3 linked regions of the Drosophila melanogaster genome follow. The protein of the gene in region 2 purifies or fractionates together with the protein of the main gene of each other region. This does not show direct contact. Each region holds a gene or a part of one and is shown on either strand. Other genes may lie near its edges. The genes, in order: Bap55, Trl and ken.

Region 1 (7,014 bases), on a different chromosome or scaffold from region 2:
AGCAGCAGCAGCAGCCATCGCAACAGCAACCACAAAATACGATATACGAGGATCAGTATGATATCCAGCGAATGCGGGAATTGGTAACGATGGCCAAATATGCGAGATGCCGTCAAAGATTCGCCGTGCCTGTGATTATGTATCGCGGAAAGTACATATGCCGCTCTGCCACGCTATCCGTCATGCCAGAAACCTACGGCCGAAAAGTGGTGGACTATGCCTACGACTGCCTGAGTGGCGGCAATTACACCGCGCCAAACGGAGAAGAGAACGATGCTGACTCCACGGACGAGTCGCTGATCACCCACATGCACGACCAGGCGCAGTCGCAGTTCAGCTACGACGAAGTCATCAAGAGTGACATCCAGCTGCTGCATACGCTCAATGTCTCAACCATTGTGGACCTCATGGTCGAAAACCGCAAAATCAAATACTTCATGGCGTGAGTACACTTTAAGATACCGAGTACAAAACAAAAACTGACCACCTGTTTTTTTTGTTCTTTTAGCGTTTCCTCGTCAGAGAAAGCGGATCCCAACAAGCACTATAAGAGCTTTAACCTTCTATCCCTGCCGTATCCGGGCTGTGAGTTCTTCAAAAAGTTCCGGGACAATAATTACATGGCTCGCAACCTGCACTACAACTGGAAGCAAACGTTCAACGATGCGAATATCAACATTCCCAACATGGGACCCGCTGCGGATATCGATGTGGCGTGGTCGGAGTACCGGGATTGGGATCTGGTGGCAATCACCCAAAACTATTTGAGAGCTACACTGAAATACGTGCAAGAGGAAAACTCCGGCCTGCTGATTCACTGCATCAGCGGTTGGGATCGCACGCCACTGTTTGTCTCCTTGGTCAGGCTGTCTCTGTGGGCAGATGGACTCATCCATCAGTCGCTGAACGCCATGCAAATGGCCTATTTCACACTGGCCTACGACTGGTACCTGTTTGGCCATCAACTTCCCGATCGCCTGAAACGAGGCGAAGACATCATGTTCTTCTGCTTCCACGTGCTGAAGTTTATCACGGACGAGGAGTTCAGCATTGTGGAGCACCGCAAGCGCACCAAGACATCCAGCAGCAGCGGCAGTAGTGTAATAGTAATCAAATCCGATTGCTGCGACGATGAACCGCTCAAGGAGTGAGTATAGCCAAAGACACTAGAATTATAGCCAAGTATTGTAAATGAACAGTACCATTATCAGTCCATTTACTTTGAATTGCAGAGACTACATCCTTTCGTTCGATCAAGATAGCAACGACAGCTACTCAAACTGTTCCAACTGTGATATGTCCATAACAGATAACTTCTATGCCACGACGCCGGCGCAAGTCAATCCGTTGACCAGCAGGTCGCCAAATCCGAAGAGGTTGAACAGCTGAATACTAAAATTAGAAACCTGACTAACTGTGAACTCAACTTGTTTTAGATCTAGAACCAGCCCCATTTCAGTGCCCGGATCAAATGCGCGGCAAAGACAGGAGTCTACATCGTCCAATGGTAGCTGGCAGGTGGTTACCGACACGGGTTCAATTGACTCCATGATGAACGGCAGCTACATGATGCGCTTTGTGGCGCAACAGGCAGCCGATGGTGGCGGCTCCTCAAACATTCCTTTATGCAATGGCGGCAATGGTTACCACTGCAGCATCAATGCAGCATCGAGTGGCAGTGGGAGCGGAAGTGGTAGCAGTATCAGTAACGGCAGCTCGACGCACGGTTTCGCAAACGGTTCCTCCAAAGACGTAGGCGGCAGCACTATGGCCAGCAAGCAATGCATCAACTTGTAAGTTGTAGTCTGATTATTCGACAGCAAATACATAATGACATAATTTTGTTTTACAATTGGAGACGAAAGCAACGCCTGAATGCAGTGCGCGCCATTTTTATACAAGCCTACGGCAAGACGATTGGACTGAAATTCAAGGAGGGCTCATCCATGAACCTGGCCACGTTCATTGGGAACCTGGCGGACCAACTGTTTTGAGAAAGGATTAGCAGCTATGACCGTTTGTTAGATTTCATCAACATTGTTTGTTTCTTGTTAAGTGCTACGCTTTCAACCAACGACTGTATTTATAGACCTGTTAAATTGCGTTCTTTAGTATCTGTTGACGATTGTGTAGTGTAACGGATTACTGATTACCGATAAGCATCGAAAGAACCAGGCGATCGTAGGCAACGAGCAAACAAAATCCTGTCGTCCTTCTGCCCCGGCTAAACCGCTCTCCTGTTCTCTAGGTTCTCCCGCTCCTTGTTTGTTTAGTTATTAGTTCTTCGAGAATGCAAAGCAAGTGAAATATAAAATGCTATTTGGATTATACAATAGTTTTAAGTTGTAATTTATAGTAATGTATTTTTTAATAAACTTATGTGCATTTTATACGAAAGAAAGTCATGTTCTCAGCGTAGGCCGCCTTGAGCGCCGTATTCTAGCTAAGGGTAAATAATCATCAATTTCCACTCGCTTCAGCCGGATGCGACACCTTTTAATGTAGTATTTCGCGCTTTTAAGAGGAACGAAGCGTGGTGTTTCTATCGGTCGTTCGTCACATTTTGTTGTATCTTTAATTTTAGGTTCAATAGCTGTTTCTATTTTGATTTTGACATCATTTGATCCTTTGCAAGCATTATTATATCTGATTCTTTTATTGGCACTTGCGACATTGGGTCTTATTTTGTGTGGGCTAATGCCGAATCTGTCCATGGCCGGACTGAGTAAATTGTCTGCTGGGAGCTCTTTCACCCGTATCGCTTTAAGAAATTCGTCGTATTCGCTCTGAACCGTCTCCAGGTCCTTAGGACCCAGCTTTCGAGTAGCTTTCTCTTGGCGCTCTTGCTCCAGGATGAGGGCGAGGACCTCCACTTCTAAATGCCGGCGTTCCGCTTGCGCCATAGATTTCACGAAAGGCAACTGACTGAGAAGAAACTCCTGACACTTGGTTTTCGGCACATCCGCCGGATTCGGGGCTTGCATGCGAATGTGCACATCGTGCATCACCCGCCACAGAGGTTCAGGGATTTGCCCTTTGGAACCGGCCAAGGCTCTGACCAGCGGGCGCAGCTTCACCCAACGCAGCTTCAGTTCACTTACGGAGAACGGAGTACTCAGCTCAACGTGCTCGTAGCTTTGGTTAAAGGACTTGGCCAGCTGATCCCAACCCCAGGAGTCGTAGTCAACGTCCATTTTGGGCTCCACCTGCGGGATGATAAGGAAGGGATACCGGGCGAGCATCTCCATGAGCAGCAAGTCGTTTAAAACAATCTGGCCGCTGATGTTGGTGTTTGATATGTTAATCTCCAAATGGGGAACAGTGGAATGGATCACCGTTTCCTCGGCGCTGTCGGTACTCATTTTAATATTTTTCGCACTGTGTTTCTCCAACGTTCTACAACACATTTGTGTACTAATTCATCCGTATGTTTTAATATACCACTTAACGGTAATTTCTTTAATAAAATCTATGTTTTTAGAATCCGAGTTTTAATTTGTGTTTGCTAACTAATAGCGATGGAAATTGTTTGAGAACAGCAATCGATAGGTAAGCGACCAAAGCGATAGGTAGGAAAATATTTGGCTTAAACAATCGATAACTTATCAGACCATCTCCAGCGAGGAAGAAGCGTCGTGAAAAAAGCCGCAAAATATACACAGACGGAAGTATTTTCGCGAATTACTTGAACACAACGTGCGAAAAAAATAATCGGAACGCCCCAATATGAGTGGCGGCACCATGCTATATGGCGGCGACGAGATCGGCGCCCTGGTCTTCGATCCTGGACATCATTCCTTGCGAGTGGGCTACGCACAGGAGGATTCGCCCAAGGCGGAGATACCCTCGGTTGTGGGGATTGGAGCAGCTCCAGAGACCAATCTCGATCCGGAAACTAAAACAGACAACAATGCCACGCCAAATAGTTAGTTTCTACATCGCCTTTATTTAGTTTATGGCTTTTAAAAACCCGGAAAAACCGGCAATCCCTACCCCTACTCTAGATGCTGACCAGCGCAAGTTCTATGTGGACACCAACTACGTGACCGTTCCCCGTTCCAATATGGAGGTGCAGACCTATATGAAAGACGGCATGATTGACAACTGGGACCTGTTTGAGAAGGTTATTGATTATGCCTACGCCAATGTCATTCAGTCGGAGCCGGAATACCATCCCGTGCTCTTTTCCGAGGCATCGTGGAATGTCCGCAACAACCGCGAGAAGCTAACCGAGCTTATGTTCGAGAAGTACAATGTTCCAGCCTTCTTTCTGGTAAAGAACGCCGTTCTGGCTGCCTTCTCCAGCGGGCGGGCCACCGCTTTGGTTGTCGATAGTGGAGCCACCCACACCTCGGCCGTTCCCGTCCATGAGGGCTATGTCCTATCCCAGGCGGTGGTTAAGTCACCCCTGGGTGGAGACTTCCTTTCACGACAGTGCCGCCAGCATCTGGAGAAGCACGGCATTGATCTGTCGCCGGTATACAAGATTGCCTCCAAAGACGTTGTTAAGGAGCGCGACAACGGACGCTTCACGCTGCGCAAACTGCCAGAGAACCTAACTCAGTCGTGGCAAAACTACATGTTGCAGCTCATGATGCAAGACTTTCAGATGAATGTGCTGCAGGTCCTAGAAAATCCGTTCGACGAACGGGTTGCTGCTCAAATCCCGACGGTACACTATGAGTTTCCTAATGGTTATCATCAGGACTTTGGCTCTGAGCGGTTCAAGATAGCCGAGAGTCTCTTTGACAATGCAATGCTGGGAGCTGGCCAATTGGCGTCCACCAGTGTGGGCATGTGTGATGCGGATGTGCGGCTGTCACTTTTCGGCTCAGTTGTCGTTACTGGTATGAATTTTCCCTAGGTTTTAAAACTAATTACTTATACCTTAATATTTTGCTCTTAGGTGGCAATACCCTTCTGCAAGGCTTTCCGGAGCGCCTAAATCGCGATCTCCAGCTGCGTGCCCCCTCAAATACGCGCCTAAAAATGATTTCTGCCAATGGCAGCGTGGAGCGAAGATTTGGAGCCTGGATTGGCGGCTCTATTCTAGCCAGCATAGGTACTTTCCAACAGATGTGGATATCGTCGCAGGAGTACGAAGAGGCCGGCAAGAGCCAAGTCGAGCGGAAGTGTCCGTAAGGACAGCGCAATCGAATTCCAATTTTAATTTTAAAGACGCAACTCTATGTAATAATATAAATGTGAAATGTGAAAAGTGTCCCATTATTCAGAAGACATCTGAGCGTTTGTTTAGGAATAGATTGCATTTGATTACGGAAATGTTTTTAGTTACACACATATGTATATATTTACTGCGACGCTGACGCGGACGTTACAGTTTCACATTTCAATGGAGTTTTCACCGGCTGCCTTTTGTCTTTCGGATCTAATTCGTACGTAATGGATATGGAGTGAACTCTGGGTCCTCGCTTTTTGTGGAACTGTTGATAGAGCGGTGGCACATAAATCTTGCGGCGAATCAGCGTCTCTTCTGTTATTTCGTGGCAAAGTTTTATAAATCGTCACATGGCTCCAGACATTGTGTTGTTGCAAACGCATTGCTATGGGCGGAACACATGATGAACTTAGTTTTAAATGATGTTTATCTCGGCTCACTCACCTTGGCATTTAGTATGTCCTCCGACCAGTCCTCCTTGGCAATTCGACCAACAGCGTTGACCAGAATCTTCTTCACCTTAATTACGTTCTCGGCAAAAGTACGGAGGACATCCTGCACGTTGACACCCTCGCAACCCATGCGCCAGCAGTCGTAGTCCGTGGCAATGGCCACCGACCCGTAAAGTAGGCCAGCCTCCTTGGCTAGCACCACTTCTGGACACGTGGTCATGTTTATGAGGTCCCCGCCCCACTGACGGAACATGTGGCTCTCCGAGCGAGAGGAGAAGCGCGGACCCTCAATAGTCACAATGGTGGCCTTATCGTGGGCGGGAATCTCCAGCTCCTTGGCCGCCTGAAGCAGAATGTTGCGGGTGCGTTCGCTGAATGCCGGAAACATGGGCAGGTGGCAAACACCACGTGGACTTTGTGCCTTGCCATCGTAGAAGGTCTGAAGGCGTTTAGTAGTCCTGTCGATAAAGTCGTGTGGAACAACCAGGTTGCCCGGCTTGATTTCCTCGCGCAACGATCCACATGCCGTGGAGACAATTAAGTGGGTGCAGCCCACATCGCGTAGAGCCCAGATGTTGGCCCGGTAGTTAACATTGGAGGGCATGATGTCGTGCTTGCGTCCATGACGCGCCAGGAGTACGCACTGTACTCCATTGATCTCGCCTTCAATCAATGCATCAGACGGTTCTCCGTAGGGCGTCTCCACCACACGTTCCTGCCGCTGTTCCAGGATATCTGGGTCGTCAAGCCCCGAACCGCCAATAATACCAATCTGTGGGTTATTTATAGTTTGGCATTGAACAAAATGGGGTGCTTAATTTTTGGACGGACTACGAACTCACCTTGACCGGAAGCGGGTCCAGATTGGTGTCTTTACATTTAATCGTAATCATGGCTAGCGGAGGATTGTGCTTTTACAAGCTGCTGTTGCGGCAGTCTGGAGCAGAGTAGAATGTTCCCGCTGATAGCGTACTGATAACTGTGTGTCTACACGGTAGGGTGCATAAGCCGCAAAAGCTCGGGCATATTGAAATGACACTCAGCACGTCGTCGTGGGTGTGTAATTATGGTAATTGAATTATGTTTGCAAAATTTTGATTTTAAATCTTATAATAATAGTTATGACAAATTAATATTTATAATTATTCATTTTAGAACAAAACTAATCATTTGATAAAGAATCAAATCAATCAAAATTAAACTAACAAAGCCCTTCTAATTATATTTATTACAACTTATATCCATATCAGTTCCGAATAAAGAAAATAGGAAATTGGAACATGGAATAAATTATTTATTGTATCATTTATATAACAAACTTAATTTGTATGCTTATTTTGTAGGGTGTCTAAATGTGACAGCCGACCCTGTTATCGAGCCGTT
Region 2 (7,014 bases):
ACAAAAATAAGTTTTTAACTTACGTGACATTTTCTTTACGCGTGGTTTGCGTTTGCGTGCCGGAAGAAAAGCCTGAATCACTGCCTGGTCATGTTTAGCCGCGTCGGTTGTCACAATGGTCTGCTGTTGTCCTGCTGCGTTGGTCTGGGTCGTTGCCTGGAGAATCTGGCCCTGATGATGGATGTCCTCCACCACCTGGGCATGAACCGTTTGCTGTGGAGCCGTGGCGATCGTGGCAATCAGTTGGTCTTGGTCGTGATGTTGTGGAATCATGTGCTGCAGTTGTATCGAGTGCGTGGTGTAGTCGTCCTTGGTAACCGTCTGCGGTGCCAGTCCCTGGATGTTCAGGCACTGGGCAGCCTGCAGTAGCGACGGCAGCTGGGCGTGATCCACGCTCACCTCTCCGCGGTACACAAACTCCAGCAGCGCCTCCAGATCGTTCGCATTGACGCCAGCCAACATAACCACTGGATGCTTGCATGGTGTATTCTGTAAATATCGAGAAGACATATATAATCTAATTTATTTAGAGCTGATAAGTTTGTATTTATATAAGTAAAACTAATGAGATTAAAAGGAGTTATTAAGAATAGGGCAAGATAAATTGATTTTAAATGATATATAAATATTTCTCTATTGTTTAAGGTATGTACGATAACCAAAACCGGTTTCTAGTAAGTTATAGAAATTTTCTAATTGAAATCTAAAAATGTTCTATAAGAAAAACTTCTTGACACTTTGCAAAGTTCGTAGGCTCTTCATCCAACATTTCTCTTGGCTCGAACTTCATCGTAGAGAGTTGTGTTTGTTTTGAAATCGTCTCACATTTTTGGCGTGAATTGAGAGGCCCGTTCGTCCGTCCGCCAATCCAAATAAAAACAATAACAAAAACAGTCGGACGGAGATGGAAATAATGGAAACTCGCGGTGCGACGCGTCGCTCACACTCTCCTCCGCTCACGCACACAGTGACACAGACAAAAGACAACCGGCTTTTACTTTTGCGCGCTCTGCACATTCTGCAGCAGGATTTTGAGATTTCAGATGCTGAAAAAGAAAACAGAGCAGCGCTTAAAGAAAGAGCGCTTAGCTGTTCTTCTTCTGTGTCCTCTCCCGCTCCCGCTCCCGCTCCAAACATTTAATTATATAGCATTGCTCAGAAAACAACCCCTCTCCATTTACGGACTCACCAACCAACACCCTCCCTTCATCCAATGCCAATCTCTTGAAATGACACATCTCACCGCACTCCCATTTGCGCTCTTTGAACTCTGCCTCCAACCAAAGTCTCGCTCATCGATTTTTCAGAGTTGCATTCCATTTGCCGTAGGAGCAAGGGAGAGGGAGCAAGAGCAACAAAGAGCGACCGCCATGTGTTTTTGCGTGCGTGTGTGAGTGTAACGAGATCAGTACATCTTGTACTTTTCGGACTCTTGCAGAGTTCACAGCCGCATTGGTCCCGTTCTTTTTGTTTTTTTTTTTTTTTCTTTGACATTTCCCCACGACGGCTCTGAGCGGCGTTTTCAAAAATTTCGCTCTGTTTACTTTTTCACGGCCCAGAAAAGGAGAGGAGAGATGAGGAGCGCTGAGAATAAGGGGGAGCGAAGCGCAGAGTAGCCGCTGTCGGCGTCGCATCAGGTGTTTTCATTTCGCTGGCCGCGCTCTGTTTTGGTCAGTATTTCCATTACGATAGGGCCACGCATTGAAGACGGTCCAACTTTCATACTTAAGCGCACACTTTGAACAATCGACAGAGTGGCGGAAAAGCGTCAAAGTTAAAGTGCAAATGAGTTGTTAAAAAGTACAGTATCGCAATACAGCTCATGAAAAAACTTGCAAGCTCCATTTAAAAGTGCGCCTTCCTAATATGAAATGCTTTAGTTTATAGAAATACGGGTTGGATTCGATACGAGGGAAGCGCACCAGACAGGCTTGCTTATCTTTGGTACAATCTGGACTTGGTCACTATGTTATAAGTTTAAATAAAGATTTGAAGTAGATAAGTCTATTAAAGTCCAGGAACTTTTAATTGAGCGAAGTTTGCTGTTAGACAATCAATCTAGCAATCTAAAATGGTGACATACAAAATACAAAAGACTTAGCTTAGGAAATGGGTTAAGGAAATCAAACCAATCAATACAAATTTAATTTTAATTATCTTTGTATATGTATCCATATTCCCCCCAATATTTCAAGTTCCCCCTAGCCAGAGCCAACTGTACAGTTCTGTCTGTGAAGAAAGAGGTCGCGCTCGTGTGCACCCAACAACAGCAAGAACCAAAAGGCAAGACGAAAGCTCCAACCATCCAACAACTACAACAGTTGCCGCGCTGCTTTTGGCGCTCTCGTTTGCGCTCGCTCTAACACATGCGATTTAAAAGTTGGCGCACCAGCTTTCGGCTCTCCCCTCTCTGTTACACCACCGGGCCCAAAACCACTTTTCTGTCGACCGAACCAACTGGTTCTCTCGCTCTCTCCCTCTCTGTCTGCGCTCTGTCTCTACGTCTCACTCTCTCGTTCTCCGGTGAACTTTGCAACAAGAAAAAGCTGATAAGCAAGATAGACGGCGGGAATGCGGGGGGCGGAGCCACTCATTCAACTCAATTGACAGTGGAAAACTTGTACAAAAATCTCTAGACAACTTTTGGAGCGGAGCGTAAATCTGCGTTATTTATACATATGTATGCATTTGCGTGCGAGTGTCAGTTTCTCTGCGCTCCAAACATTAACCTATTTCTGCGATTGGATTTCTCTGTTTACAAACTGTACGAAACGTTTGAGGTTATGTACAAGCTCTCTTATTGAAAGGTGTTTTAGGCAGTGTTTCCGAACCGAGCACTTACCTTTAGCAAGTCCAGCAGAAAGGGGGAGGCGGCGCACAGGACTATCTTGTGGGCGGGAAAACTCCGCCCGCCGGCGGCCAACGTGCAATCGACGAGGTCGCCATGGCAGCGCAACAATTGGATTGCCGATACGAGGCTGGTGCCGTAATCGCCCCAGGTGAGCGAATACAGCGAATTCATTGGCAGCGACATCAAAGCGGTCGCGTCCAAATCCAACAATTGTTGTTCCTCCCCAGCGTTGCTAGCGTATTCGCTGCTATTTGTCTCCAACACGACGATTTAATGTTTAACGGTTACGGGGAAAATTCTCTTCAAGTTGGGATTTTTCGCAAAAATCCCCTTTCTACTCCTCCTCCACGACGCCACTGCTTTTCCAACTCCCTTTGCTCTTCCTCTTCTTGCTGCTTGGCGCGCTGCTTTCTCGAAACTGAAATGAAAAATGGAAAAGAAAAAGAGTACAGACGTTAGTTATTAGCTCTCTCTCTCTCTCTCTCTTTCTCGGTCTCACTCTCCCGCTCTCGCACTCTTTGGGGGCCAGAGCGCGCGAGAGCGAGACAACGCATGTGTGTAGGCTGCTCACAGGAATTTTGTTGTTGGAGAAGACTTTTTCACAAGGGGACTGACAACTAGTATACAATTGATGTTTCAAAATTCGTTGCTGCCCACAAAAATCACACAAAAATAGCGCGCCACATTTAAAAACGCCAACAGCACACACACGCGCACAAACTCAGACAGACGGACAGCCGACACAATCACATTTTTTAATACACAGTACAGTCAAGCCATGAGACACGCATTTAATTTTTTTTTGTCACTCAGTTATTTTGTTCGTTTTATAATCGCATGTCTCTTGATTTTGTTATTGTTTTCCCGCTCACGGAGCGCACTTTTTTTGTTTGTTGGTTCGGTTTTGGTTTGTGAAATTATCTTCTCACCGGAGCGCAAAAGAAAATTTCAGTGGCTGTGGGTGATTTTGTGCCTTCTCTTTCTCTTGCCCGTACGCTTTTTTCTCCTGCTTGTTTGTCCGCTCGCCAACGTTGGATAACTCGAACTGAGACTGAGTAAATGGTTTCGATCGAATTTCGCTGCTCCGGCGCTGCCAGCGCGGCCAGTTTTTCAGTTCTCTACTCGGGGAGAAAATGTGTAATTTCTGTACTGCTGGTGGTGGTTATTTTGCGTGCTGGTGTGCGTGCGCGCCTGTATCTGTGTATCTATGAGAGAAGTGACCTGCCTGGCAACGCTCTTTGAAGTACAGTTGTCGAGCGGCATTGCCAGATGGAGCGCAGGAAGAGTATTTTTAGGATGGAGAGGAGAGCAAGACGGCAAGACAAAAAAGTCGGCAAGATAGTAAACAAAACTATAAAAGGTGGTAAATATTGAATGATGGAAATATTCTGGGCCGACTTCACGGATGAAAAACACATGTGTCCGACCGGTTGGAATATCAGAGTGCGATAAGAAAAAGGTCAACGGGATCCGTAGGTTCCGGTTCTATAACTATCGGATCCGGTATCAAAATATTCAACATTTTCTTATACTACTCCACTCTGAATAAGCTCAAATTTTACAGTTTAAAAATGAAGGATAAACAATTCAGAACGTTTTTGAATTATTCTAGCTAAGGTATCGAGCAATTGTATTAAAAATAAATTCCAACATTAGCTATGATTAAATCGATAAGCAGATTTTCGTAGAACGAGTCCCTAATCTAACAATTTATTATGTTTGATCACCAAAATCTAGAAGGGTATTGGGTTCAGAATAAATTACTTTCAGTTTTCTTTTTAAGATACCAGATTCCATTTTTCTGGGAACAAGTGTAATGCTACTGAGGGTTACACAGGAATCAAAAGAATCTGATAGGTTTAGATTAAAATAGACATGTATCGGGACTGGGTTTCTCTTCGGTTCCGAAATATTAACAGATCCTGTGAAAGTAATAATAACAAATGGTAGAAAAGCCGGTTCGCTCTTACGCTCTACATTCTCTTTCCCCTGTCTCTAACTCTCCTCTCTCCTTTCGAATCCAATCCAATCACCTGTTACTTTTGACACATCTCAGAGACCGAGACCCTACGGGGTAAAAACATATAGCCAGTCTCATTCTCGTATGCAGATCAAGTCCAGCTTAAGAGCGGAGAGACCCCGCGATAGGGAAGTTAGTCGAATTTGGAATTGAAGGAGAAGGAGAGTGGCACTTCTAGCCAACGCTCAGAGAAGAAAGTAATATAAAGTGAGCGAGTGTCCAAATTTTTAAGATTACAATTTTCTCTGTTATGATGCTGCTGGGCAGGGAAGGGGCCATGAGAAATGCCGTTCGAAATGCCCCTTTAAAGTTCCAATCGGCGTTAAAGCAGTGAGCATGTTTCATGTTTCGTAGCTGGCAATACCAACCAACGGAGCATGATGTGAGAATGAGGGAGAGCGTGCGCGCTGGGGGGTGTTGGTGGTGGGTGACTCGGCAGAGGTGGAGGAATGAGTGCAAACCAAGCACAGTGGGATACAAAACATAAGTGGTAGGAATAGAATTACTATGTAAAATTTTGGAATACATTGTATAACTGGTTTTTGTAAACAAATTGTATAAGCGTTACTGGACTATTTTTTCCATTGGCTAGTTTTTATAGTGCGTTTGGCCGTACGTTAGTTAAAGATTTTCAAATTAAATTTTTGTATTTTATTAAAATGTATGAAACTTTAAAACATTAAAACTTTTAAACAACGCTTTTGTCCCACCGTGCGCCAGCTCGACTGTTTGAAATTCGAACGGCGCGGCACGACTTTTGCCTGGCCTTCCCCACCGCGCCTTATCACGTTGTTTCTATTAAAAAAAACTGAATATACTTGAAACGAACGCAAAACATGAAGAATTCAGCACAAATTTGTTGAAAACAAATACGCAAATGTATGCGACTTATTTGCCTATCGCCGCTTGCCTATAGATGTATGTACATACATATGTATGTATGTGTGCTCTGGCGTTTGATGGGGGCCATCGAATTATAACCTCATTTTGTATAACTAATTCATTTAACAAAATTTAATGGGAAGCGACGAATGACTCCCGCCTAAAAACCACAACAATGGACCCTGAACGGAGTGGCGAGCAAACATCTCGAGTTGGATGTCGTGGTCATAATAAACCGATTTACCATGTGCACTGTGTACAATTTCCAACTGTGAGTGGGAGAAACCGTTTCTGGCGCTGCTCCTGCCGCTCAGAGCGGGACGGCGAAACGTGGAGAGGCCGCCAGAGAGGGGAGGAGCGGTGGGGAAATGGGACGGAGCGGGAGCGTAGTTTCTCCGGCATTGTATTCAATTTCCACTAAAAAATAAACCCAATTCGGCGCCAAAAACAAAACCCGTGCTCACGGAAAGCCCACTCTCTCCCGCTCAGTCTTAAAAAAATAAGATTCTTTGGAGCCAAAAAAAAAAATACACTGGTCGAAATTAGATGTCCTCCCTTGAGCCCAAAATCGTATCAATGCGTCACAGATGTTCAGAACAAATAAAAGTTGGTGACTAAAGTGTTAATCTCTACCCATTAGACTTTCTAACGTTAGAACCCAACTTTAGAATAATAATTAAATGGATAACATAATAGACTATTTTTGTCAGAATTTTATGGTCACATTTCATGTTTTTTGCTCCATGTACTTGCCTGTGATTTCCTCATTTTCCAAGATTGCACCATGCGACCGTTTGGTAATGTATTTCTTCCTCATTATTTTCCATCTCGTAGGCGAAAACGCAGCTTTTGTTGACAATTACCGATAGACGAACTTTTGCTATCAGTTCCAGGGGCTTAATTACAGGTTGCTCGTGCAAAATTACAATGTGGGAGGCGTGGTAGATCATGGGATCGCCGGGGTAAACCAGAAAGTCCGCTCCAAATGCATCGCCGGAAGTCACGTACTTTCCGCGCCTCCACAGATCTTTGAAAACGCGGTATTTCAGGGAATTGGTGTGCACAATGGGACCGGTAACTATTTGCGCAGCTGTTGGTTGTAGAATTGAATTAAGATTACTTATCGAGAGATATTGGTTTTAATGTATCTACAGTGATCCGTGGGATGTTCACAATGCACCTCCAGCAAGGCATTTTGGCGATCGAATTTGAAATTCACAGACATCTCCAATAGTACATCCTTATCAGTCAGAGCGGCAGC
Region 3 (7,014 bases), on a different chromosome or scaffold from region 2:
TGTGCAATTGTGTCGTTGTGCACAGGCAGAAAAATGTGGCATCATGCCATGCTATTATGTATAATAATAACATGCAGGTGAATGTGCCATTCAAATTTGGATGGATCATTTACATGTGGATGAAAATGGTAGGCTTAATACATCAAATTCAGCTTTTGTAAGGTTGAAGAGCTGTTAAGTAAACTACTTTCTAGCCAAAAAAAAAGATGCAAATAATAGAAGTCGTTTGAAAATAATGTAAAATGTGTAACATCGAGCTGCCCTTTCTTTCTGTGTAGTTGACTGTATCTGTGTAAGGTCTGTCGCGTTTGCGTGGAAGTGTAGTGCAGCGGGGCTTTTGTAAGTGTGTGCGTTTGCTGGGGGGCCACCATTATTGTATTGTGCAAGAGCATGGCTTGTAAGCTCTTTTCGGCTGCGCGAGTGTGAGTGAGTGTCTGCATGGCACCACGAAAAGTAATAAACCAAAAAGCGAAGCTAAAGTTCAGCAGCAGCAGCAGATCTCGAAAACGGAAAAAACGAAAAACTTCGGAAAGATAGTCTTGCTTTTTGTTACGCTCTGCTGCTTCTCCCCACCAATCCCCGCTCCAGCCCCCTGGCTCCACCACTCCTTTAGCATGGAGACGAACGAAACGTTCACTTTCAATAAAACTTGAATGACTGGCTTGGCGGAGAGCAAGAGAATGGAAATGGGAATGTTGTATTTGGCTTGGGAATGGCAAGCGAAAGCTGAGCATGGATCTTTTATTTTTCGCTTTTTGCACTGCCACTGAAGAGAGGGCGGGGGAGAGCAGGGGCAGGAAAGGGGGGATCTGGTGTGCTCATTCTAACGCTAGATAAATTCCAAAGCGGTATTGACGGAACATACATATGTATATATGCATGTATCTATGAGTGTGTGTGCTTGTATACTTAATGCTTCCACGAATCAGGGCCATTCACTTTCTACAAGTTTCTCGGCGGATTTCGCAATCGAATCTGAATTTGCTTACGAGCAGAGCATGACTAAAGATCGTTACAGCATTTAAGGCAATCAAAAGGTGAAAGTTCATGGTAATAATTCCTTAAATGGAAGACGCTAGGGATCCGTACGTATGTATGTGTTTGTGTATTTCCCAACATTTCTCCGCTCTCTTCGCGAGACTCACACATTCGCACGCACACTTTTGCAAACTGGAAATGAGAATGAAAGGGACAAGGCGGACATGGAGGAGGGTCGAGGGGAGGGCGATACGAAAACAAAACGCGCTAACTCACAATGCGCGCATAAAATCACCTTTCACAAAAAGCTTTTCTCCTCTCTATGCTGTGTATGTGTGTCTGTATGTCCAACGATCGGGGTATAAGCTAAACAACGAAACACACATAGCGACATACAGACGGAGAACGCAATCGTTTGTATATTTCCACACTTTCCGATTTTTGTCGTCGTCATCGTTCCCATGTAATGTAAATGTAGTTTTACAATTACTCTTTCCCCTGCGCATTGTGGTGTCGGTGTATGGGTTTGTTGGTGTGTGAGTGTGCAGATTGCGTGAGTGTTTACGAATGTAAAGCACATGTGTCTATTTCCAAGTGGAAGAGAATGGCAAGGGAACGGAAGCGGGAGCGGGGGGTGAAGAGGGAAGGGGGAACTGGAAATCGAAATGGAACTGGAATCGCACGGATCTTATCCGATCGAAGGCCTCAAAAGAGAAAGCTACGCGGGGTTTTGAAAGTATTATAAGCTCGCGCAAAGGTAAAATGTTAAAGGGAGCGGAGCGCGCGTTCAAACTCGTTTTCCTGCCCTCTCTGTCTCTGTCGCTCCATCGCATCGCATTCTCTTCCTTTCCCGCTCTCTCCCGCGCTGCCACTGCCCCTTTCCCCATTCCCCTTTCACGAAAGCTCTTTGACTTGCTGATCCGAAAAGAAGCGAGGGAAAATGGCAAAGAGTCGCCGTCGCCGTCGTTGTCTTCTTTCGTACTTGTTGTAAATGCTACACTCGTAAAAGTGACCCAAATTTGAATTGCATAACTCCATAAGCTGGGCGATACGGAGAAAGATAGGAAAGGGGCCCGTGAGGGGTTTGCAATGCGCTAGTTTCGTAGACGCCGTCAACGGATCTACGTTTTAAAATATGTATTTGCCAGATAAGGCGAACAGAACGGGGAAATCAAAGATCTCCTCACAATAGCCTTTCCAAGTTCCCCCACCCCCTCCCACGACCCGTTAAACTAAAATCCCCCTCACGCTGAGAAACCCACGCCCGTGGCTTTGCTAACAGCATATTTTGTAACATCTGCGCGATCGTGTAACCGCATGCATGTGTGTGTGTGATTGAGTGTCTGTGCTTTTTCACCTTCACTCTTATTGGAAAGCAGTTAAGTTGGTCGAGTGCGTGCGCCAATGTACGTACATATGTACGCAGATATGTGTCTTCAAATTCCATGACATGCATACGAGCGCACCAATACACGGACGGTATTACGCAGACAAAAGCACGCGATGAAGGTCACTAAGCCTTTCTTGTCTCCAGTTGTTGTTGTTCCTCTGGGTTCAGTTGTTGTTGCAGTGCTAATGATGTTCATGACGACGAAGATTGGATCGCCACGAACCGAAGCTTCGAGGCAAAGTTTTGGATACGATACCATACGATACGATGCGATGCGATCCAAACCGAGCTTGGAATGTTTTCAGTTTTCTGCTTTTCTGTTTTCTGTTTTCTCTACCACTATTAAGTTAGTTTCTGACCTTGGCTGCTTTGTGTGCTTAGGTGCACAAAGAGCCACAAGCCACACACACGTATCGCAGACCCAAAACCCCAACCCCGACTTTTATCTATCTCAGCGATGTTGCAATGCCCAAAGATGATGAAAATCTCGGGGAAAAGCTTGCTGCCGAACGGCAGACTTACCTCTTTCATTAAGTTGGATGTTCAGCAGTTGGTTAATCCCAGGATGAATATAGTCACTGCTATTCACTTGCGCACTTTCTGTTCTGATCGCCTAATCCCTGCGATCGGCCATTTACTGCTGGCTGCTTGCTTAGTGGAAACTTTCGATTTCATTGACCATGGTTTGTTTATATTTTCACAGGAGCAGATTTTAAAATTTCTCTTTGGCTTTTCCTGCTGCCTCTTCTGCTTTTTATGCGACGCAACGCAAGAAATATCCACCAACACACTGGTAACGCTCGCACAAGCACACACACACTCACTAAAGTTCACTACAACGGCACAACTACAACTACAACGTCAACATTAACTTTAACTAGGTTGAAGTTTTGTTTTTTCTTTTTGTTTTATTGCGAAATAAAAAACTTGATTGGTAAAACTTTTTCTGGCGCGAGCGCGACTGCGAGTGGGAGCGGTACGGAGAATCCGATCTCTTGCCTCTCTCTCGATTTTCGATTTCAGCTTCTGCTTTTGCTTTTGCCTTGCTTTGCTTCGCTCTGTTTGTGCTTACACTTTCAGTTTGCGCGCGCGCACGTCCGTTCACTCGGAGCCTTTTTTTTTGACTGTGCGGGATCGGGAAAGAAATTACGATCGCTGCGGCGCGCTGCTCGGTCGATGTATCGATACCGATATCGATAACAGAAAAGCATTCTCTAAGTCTCCTAAGCTACCTTGTAATTTATTATTTATGTTCCAATCATGATTTAGTTTAATATTAGCTAAAATGTAAAAAGACACAATCAATAAAAATACCATTTATATTATCGATAAAAACAGCAATAAGATCTGTATTGGCTTTTTAGATTTCCATTTGGCGTATCTTTCGTTATTTCACAAGATTAAGATTCACGTCCAACATGAAGAACTTAACTGTAACAAGCTTACGCTTTTGGGCTGACCTTATAGAGGCTCGCGATTTTGACGATTCAGACCCAACGTCGCGTAGACAAATGGCGCTGATGATCAAGAAGTTAGCGGAGAACATTTTAAAATCCGCGCCCACAGTACCAACACCACCATCCCCATCCAGCCCATCGCCGAACGAAAGCAATATTTGAGTGAAGCTCCATTGCCACTGACGTGTCCTGGTCCTGGTTCTGATGACTTCCTACTGGTGGCGTCACCTCCACAGCCCACCGACCAGCAACAACAACAATAACGGTTCCTTACAGTGATCCAGCGATCACGGAGATCATTTCACCTGTTAATATACTTTGTTCACCCACTGTAACTGTCTCTCGCGGAGGCGGAGCTTTGGACATTTCCCGACAAAATGTGAGCTTTCGATTATGTTCTACAACTGAAATAAAAAACTTGTTTAAACTTAAATAAAAAATATATAAATAAAAAGGGTAGAAAATCTCAATGCTCAATTTGCATCTGTACAAACGTAGACATTAATTTTACTGGCATGCTAAAGAAATTTCACCTTGATCCCCAATAAGCCGTCATCCTTCCATTATTTGCTTCCTTTGTAAGTCCTTTACGATCGCTCATTTGAAATGCACACGCCGCCTACATTTGCATCCTACCCTTTGCTATCCCATTATAGGAAACCATTAAATTCGTCCTTGAACCTAATTTGTGCCGTTAGCAATAAAAGCAATCAGTGAAACGAATTTGTATGCAAATCATTGAGAAACTAACAATGGTTCCAAAACGACCTGCATTTTATTCATAATCTATTTAAAGTTTAAATTTAGAAATTTGGATGTACATCTAATATGTAAGATTATACAGTACTGCAAGAGTGGCCTTTGGAAGTAATCCTTTCTTTCGCCCATTTGCATACAGCTAGTTGCCTGCTACAGTTATCACTTGCATTGCGGTTCAAGGACATGGTTAATGGTCTTCCATTGTGGGAAAGGGTATACAGACTGTAGGTGACGAATGAGAGCGCAGATGGACATCGTAAACAGCACGCTTAATAGGATAATCAAGATCAAGGTCATTGGAGAAATCTATTCCTTTATGGGACTCCCAGATTGCGTTGCATACATTTGAATGAAGGTGAATGGTGTAGGAATAGTAAACGATTCTCAGAAGCTAAAAAATTTAGAACTGTATATTCAAATATAACCAAGAAATATATCTAAAGTTGGAAATGAAGATCTACCGAATTTTACAAGCTGTCATGCTTTATGATCTACGAGTAAGATCCTCAGAAAGGGTATTTACAGTTCGAAAGCTTTTCATGCATCAGCTTTCGATAACCGATAGTTCGCCGCGATCCGGCGTTCATGTTCATCACTAGCCAAACAGCTGCAGTCGCAACAACGAGAAAAGCGAGAAAAGAAATCAGAAAACTTTCGCAAGATGAGCCTTCAAAATGTCTGCCGCAAGGGTAACGCCTTCAACCTGTTGAATGTCGCCAGGAAAGGTGAGTTAATAGTGCGGGTGTTGCAGTATGCCCCATTCCAAACACGGGCTGCACCAGTTGGACTTTGGCTCTGATAATTCATAACGATTTGTGGCAGCAGCAGCCGATTGAATCTGAAAGGGCCAAAGTCCAAACTCGAATTCGCAGTGACGTCTTGCGGGACAAAGATAATGTATGGGTACATCATGATTAAAAATAACGCGAAACGAGAGTGCTAAGGATAATCCCGAATCCGGAACCCTTTTTCAGTTCAATGCCGCGCTCTATCGGCCGCTGTGGCGAATCCACAACCGAAGCAGAAGAACAGCCAGAATATCGTGCTCGTGGATGGAGTCCGCACACCCTTTCTGACCTCCGGAACCACCTACTCCAAGCTGATGCCCCATGAACTGGCCAGGCACTCGCTTTTGTAGGTTTACAATCCCCAATATCCTTGGAGTATTAGCTTACCCCGCCCCATTCAACAGGTCATTGCTGCAAAAGAACCGCCTGGACAAGGAGCTCATCGACTACATCGTGTACGGCAGCGTCATCCAGGAGGTGAAGACCTCCAACATTGCCAGGGAGGCAGCCTTGGCAGCTGGATTCAGCAACAAGACACCTGCCCACACCGTCACCATGGCCTGCATCAGTTCCAATGCGGTAAGAGCCTCGCCCAAAGTTCCTCGGAGCTTGAATCTATAGCCCATGTATTACAGGCCATCACCACGGGCATGGGTCTGATAGCCACCAACACCTACGATGTCATCGTTGCCGGCGGCGTGGAGTTCATGTCCGATGTGCCCATTCGCCACTCCCGCAAGATGCGCTCCCTGCTCCTGAAAGCCAACAAGGCAAAGACCCTGGGCCAGCGGCTGGCCCTGCTGTCCACCTTCAGGCCAGACTTCCTGGCCCCCGAGCTGCCCGCCGTTGCGGAGTTCTCCTCCGGCGAGACCATGGGACACTCGGCCGATCGCTTGGCATCCGCCTTCAACGTATCCCGGAGCGAGCAGGACGAGTACGCCCTGCGATCCCACACACTGGCCAAGGAGGCCCAGGAGAAGGGCTACTTCACCGATCTGGTTCCCTTCAAGGTGTCCGGCGTGGACCAGATCGTGGACAAGGACAACGGCATCCGCGTGTCTAGTCCCGAGAGCCTGGCAAAGCTGAGGCCCGCCTTTGTGAAGCCCTACGGCACTGTGACAGCAGCCAACGCCTCCTTCCTCACGGACGGAGCTTCTGCTTGCATTATCATGACCGAGGAGAAGGCCAAGCAGCTGGGCCTCAAGCCCAAGGCCTATCTGCGCGACTTCCTGTTCGTGTCGCAGGATCCCGTCAACCAGCTGCTGCTGGGACCCGCCTACGGAATTCCCAAGCTGCTCAAGAAGGCTGGACTCACGCTGAAGGACATTGACTCGTGGGAGATCCACGAGGCGTTCGCCGGACAGATCGTGGCCAATCTGAAGGCCCTGGACTCCGACTGGTTCTGCAAGACTTACTTGGGCCTGAACGAGAAGGTCGGCACTCCCGACCTGTCCAAGTGGAACAACTGGGGCGGTTCTCTGTCCATCGGCCACCCCTTCGCCGCCACAGGAGTCCGCCTCTGCATGCACACCGCCAACCGCCTGGTGCGCGAGGATGGCAAGTTGGGCGTGGTCGCCGCCTGCGCGGCCGGTGGACAGGGCGTGGCTATGCTCATTGAGCGCTATCCGGGCGCCACAGCCGA

What was found.
Region 1: the proteins of Trl (region 2) and Bap55 purify together in Drosophila melanogaster (affinity purification with mass spectrometry; 2 studies listed by BioGRID, with this or other methods). This does not show direct contact.
Region 3: the proteins of Trl (region 2) and ken purify together in Drosophila melanogaster (affinity purification with western blotting, with the first as the bait; one study listed by BioGRID). This does not show direct contact.

Annotation. Positions count from the first base shown.
Region 1 is NT_033778.4:17,427,553-17,434,566, reverse strand, and holds Bap55 (brahma associated protein 55kD), read left to right. Parts: upstream 1-3,603; 5' UTR 3,604-3,726; coding exon 3,727-3,925; intron 3,926-4,004; coding exon 4,005-4,847; intron 4,848-4,906; coding exon 4,907-5,142; 3' UTR 5,143-5,214; downstream 5,215-7,014. Other genes in the region: EDTP (Egg-derived tyrosine phosphatase), read left to right, coding at 1-442, 509-1,147, 1,212-1,376, 1,437-1,793, 1,859-1,994; Lhr (lethal hybrid rescue), read right to left, coding at 2,403-3,407; Mtap (methylthioadenosine phosphorylase), read right to left, coding at 5,526-5,564, 5,624-6,403, 6,474-6,524.
Region 2 is NT_037436.4:14,754,062-14,761,075, forward strand, and holds the start of Trl (Trithorax-like), read right to left. Parts: upstream 3,902-7,014; 5' UTR 3,781-3,901; exon of another isoform or gene 3,423-3,780; intron 3,276-3,422; exon of another isoform or gene 3,270-3,275; 5' UTR 3,035-3,269; coding exon 2,843-3,034; intron 490-2,842; coding exon 24-489; intron 1-23. Other genes in the region: Tsen34 (tRNA splicing endonuclease subunit 34), read right to left, coding at 6,518-6,843, 6,906-7,013. UniProt on the Drosophila melanogaster protein: Transcriptional activator that functions by regulating chromatin structure. Overcomes the repressive effects of chromatin by promoting the open chromatin conformation in promoter gene regions, thereby allowing access to other transcription factors.
Region 3 is NT_033778.4:23,866,757-23,873,770, reverse strand, and holds the start of ken (ken and barbie), read right to left. Parts: upstream 3,499-7,014; 5' UTR 2,900-3,498; coding exon 2,891-2,899; intron 1-2,890. Other genes in the region: Mtpbeta (mitochondrial trifunctional protein beta subunit), read left to right, coding at 5,246-5,309, 5,559-5,718, 5,777-5,951, 6,008-7,014. UniProt on the Drosophila melanogaster protein: Transcription factor required for terminalia development. Negative regulator of the JAK/STAT pathway: represses JAK/STAT-dependent expression of ventral veins lacking (vvl) in the posterior spiracles.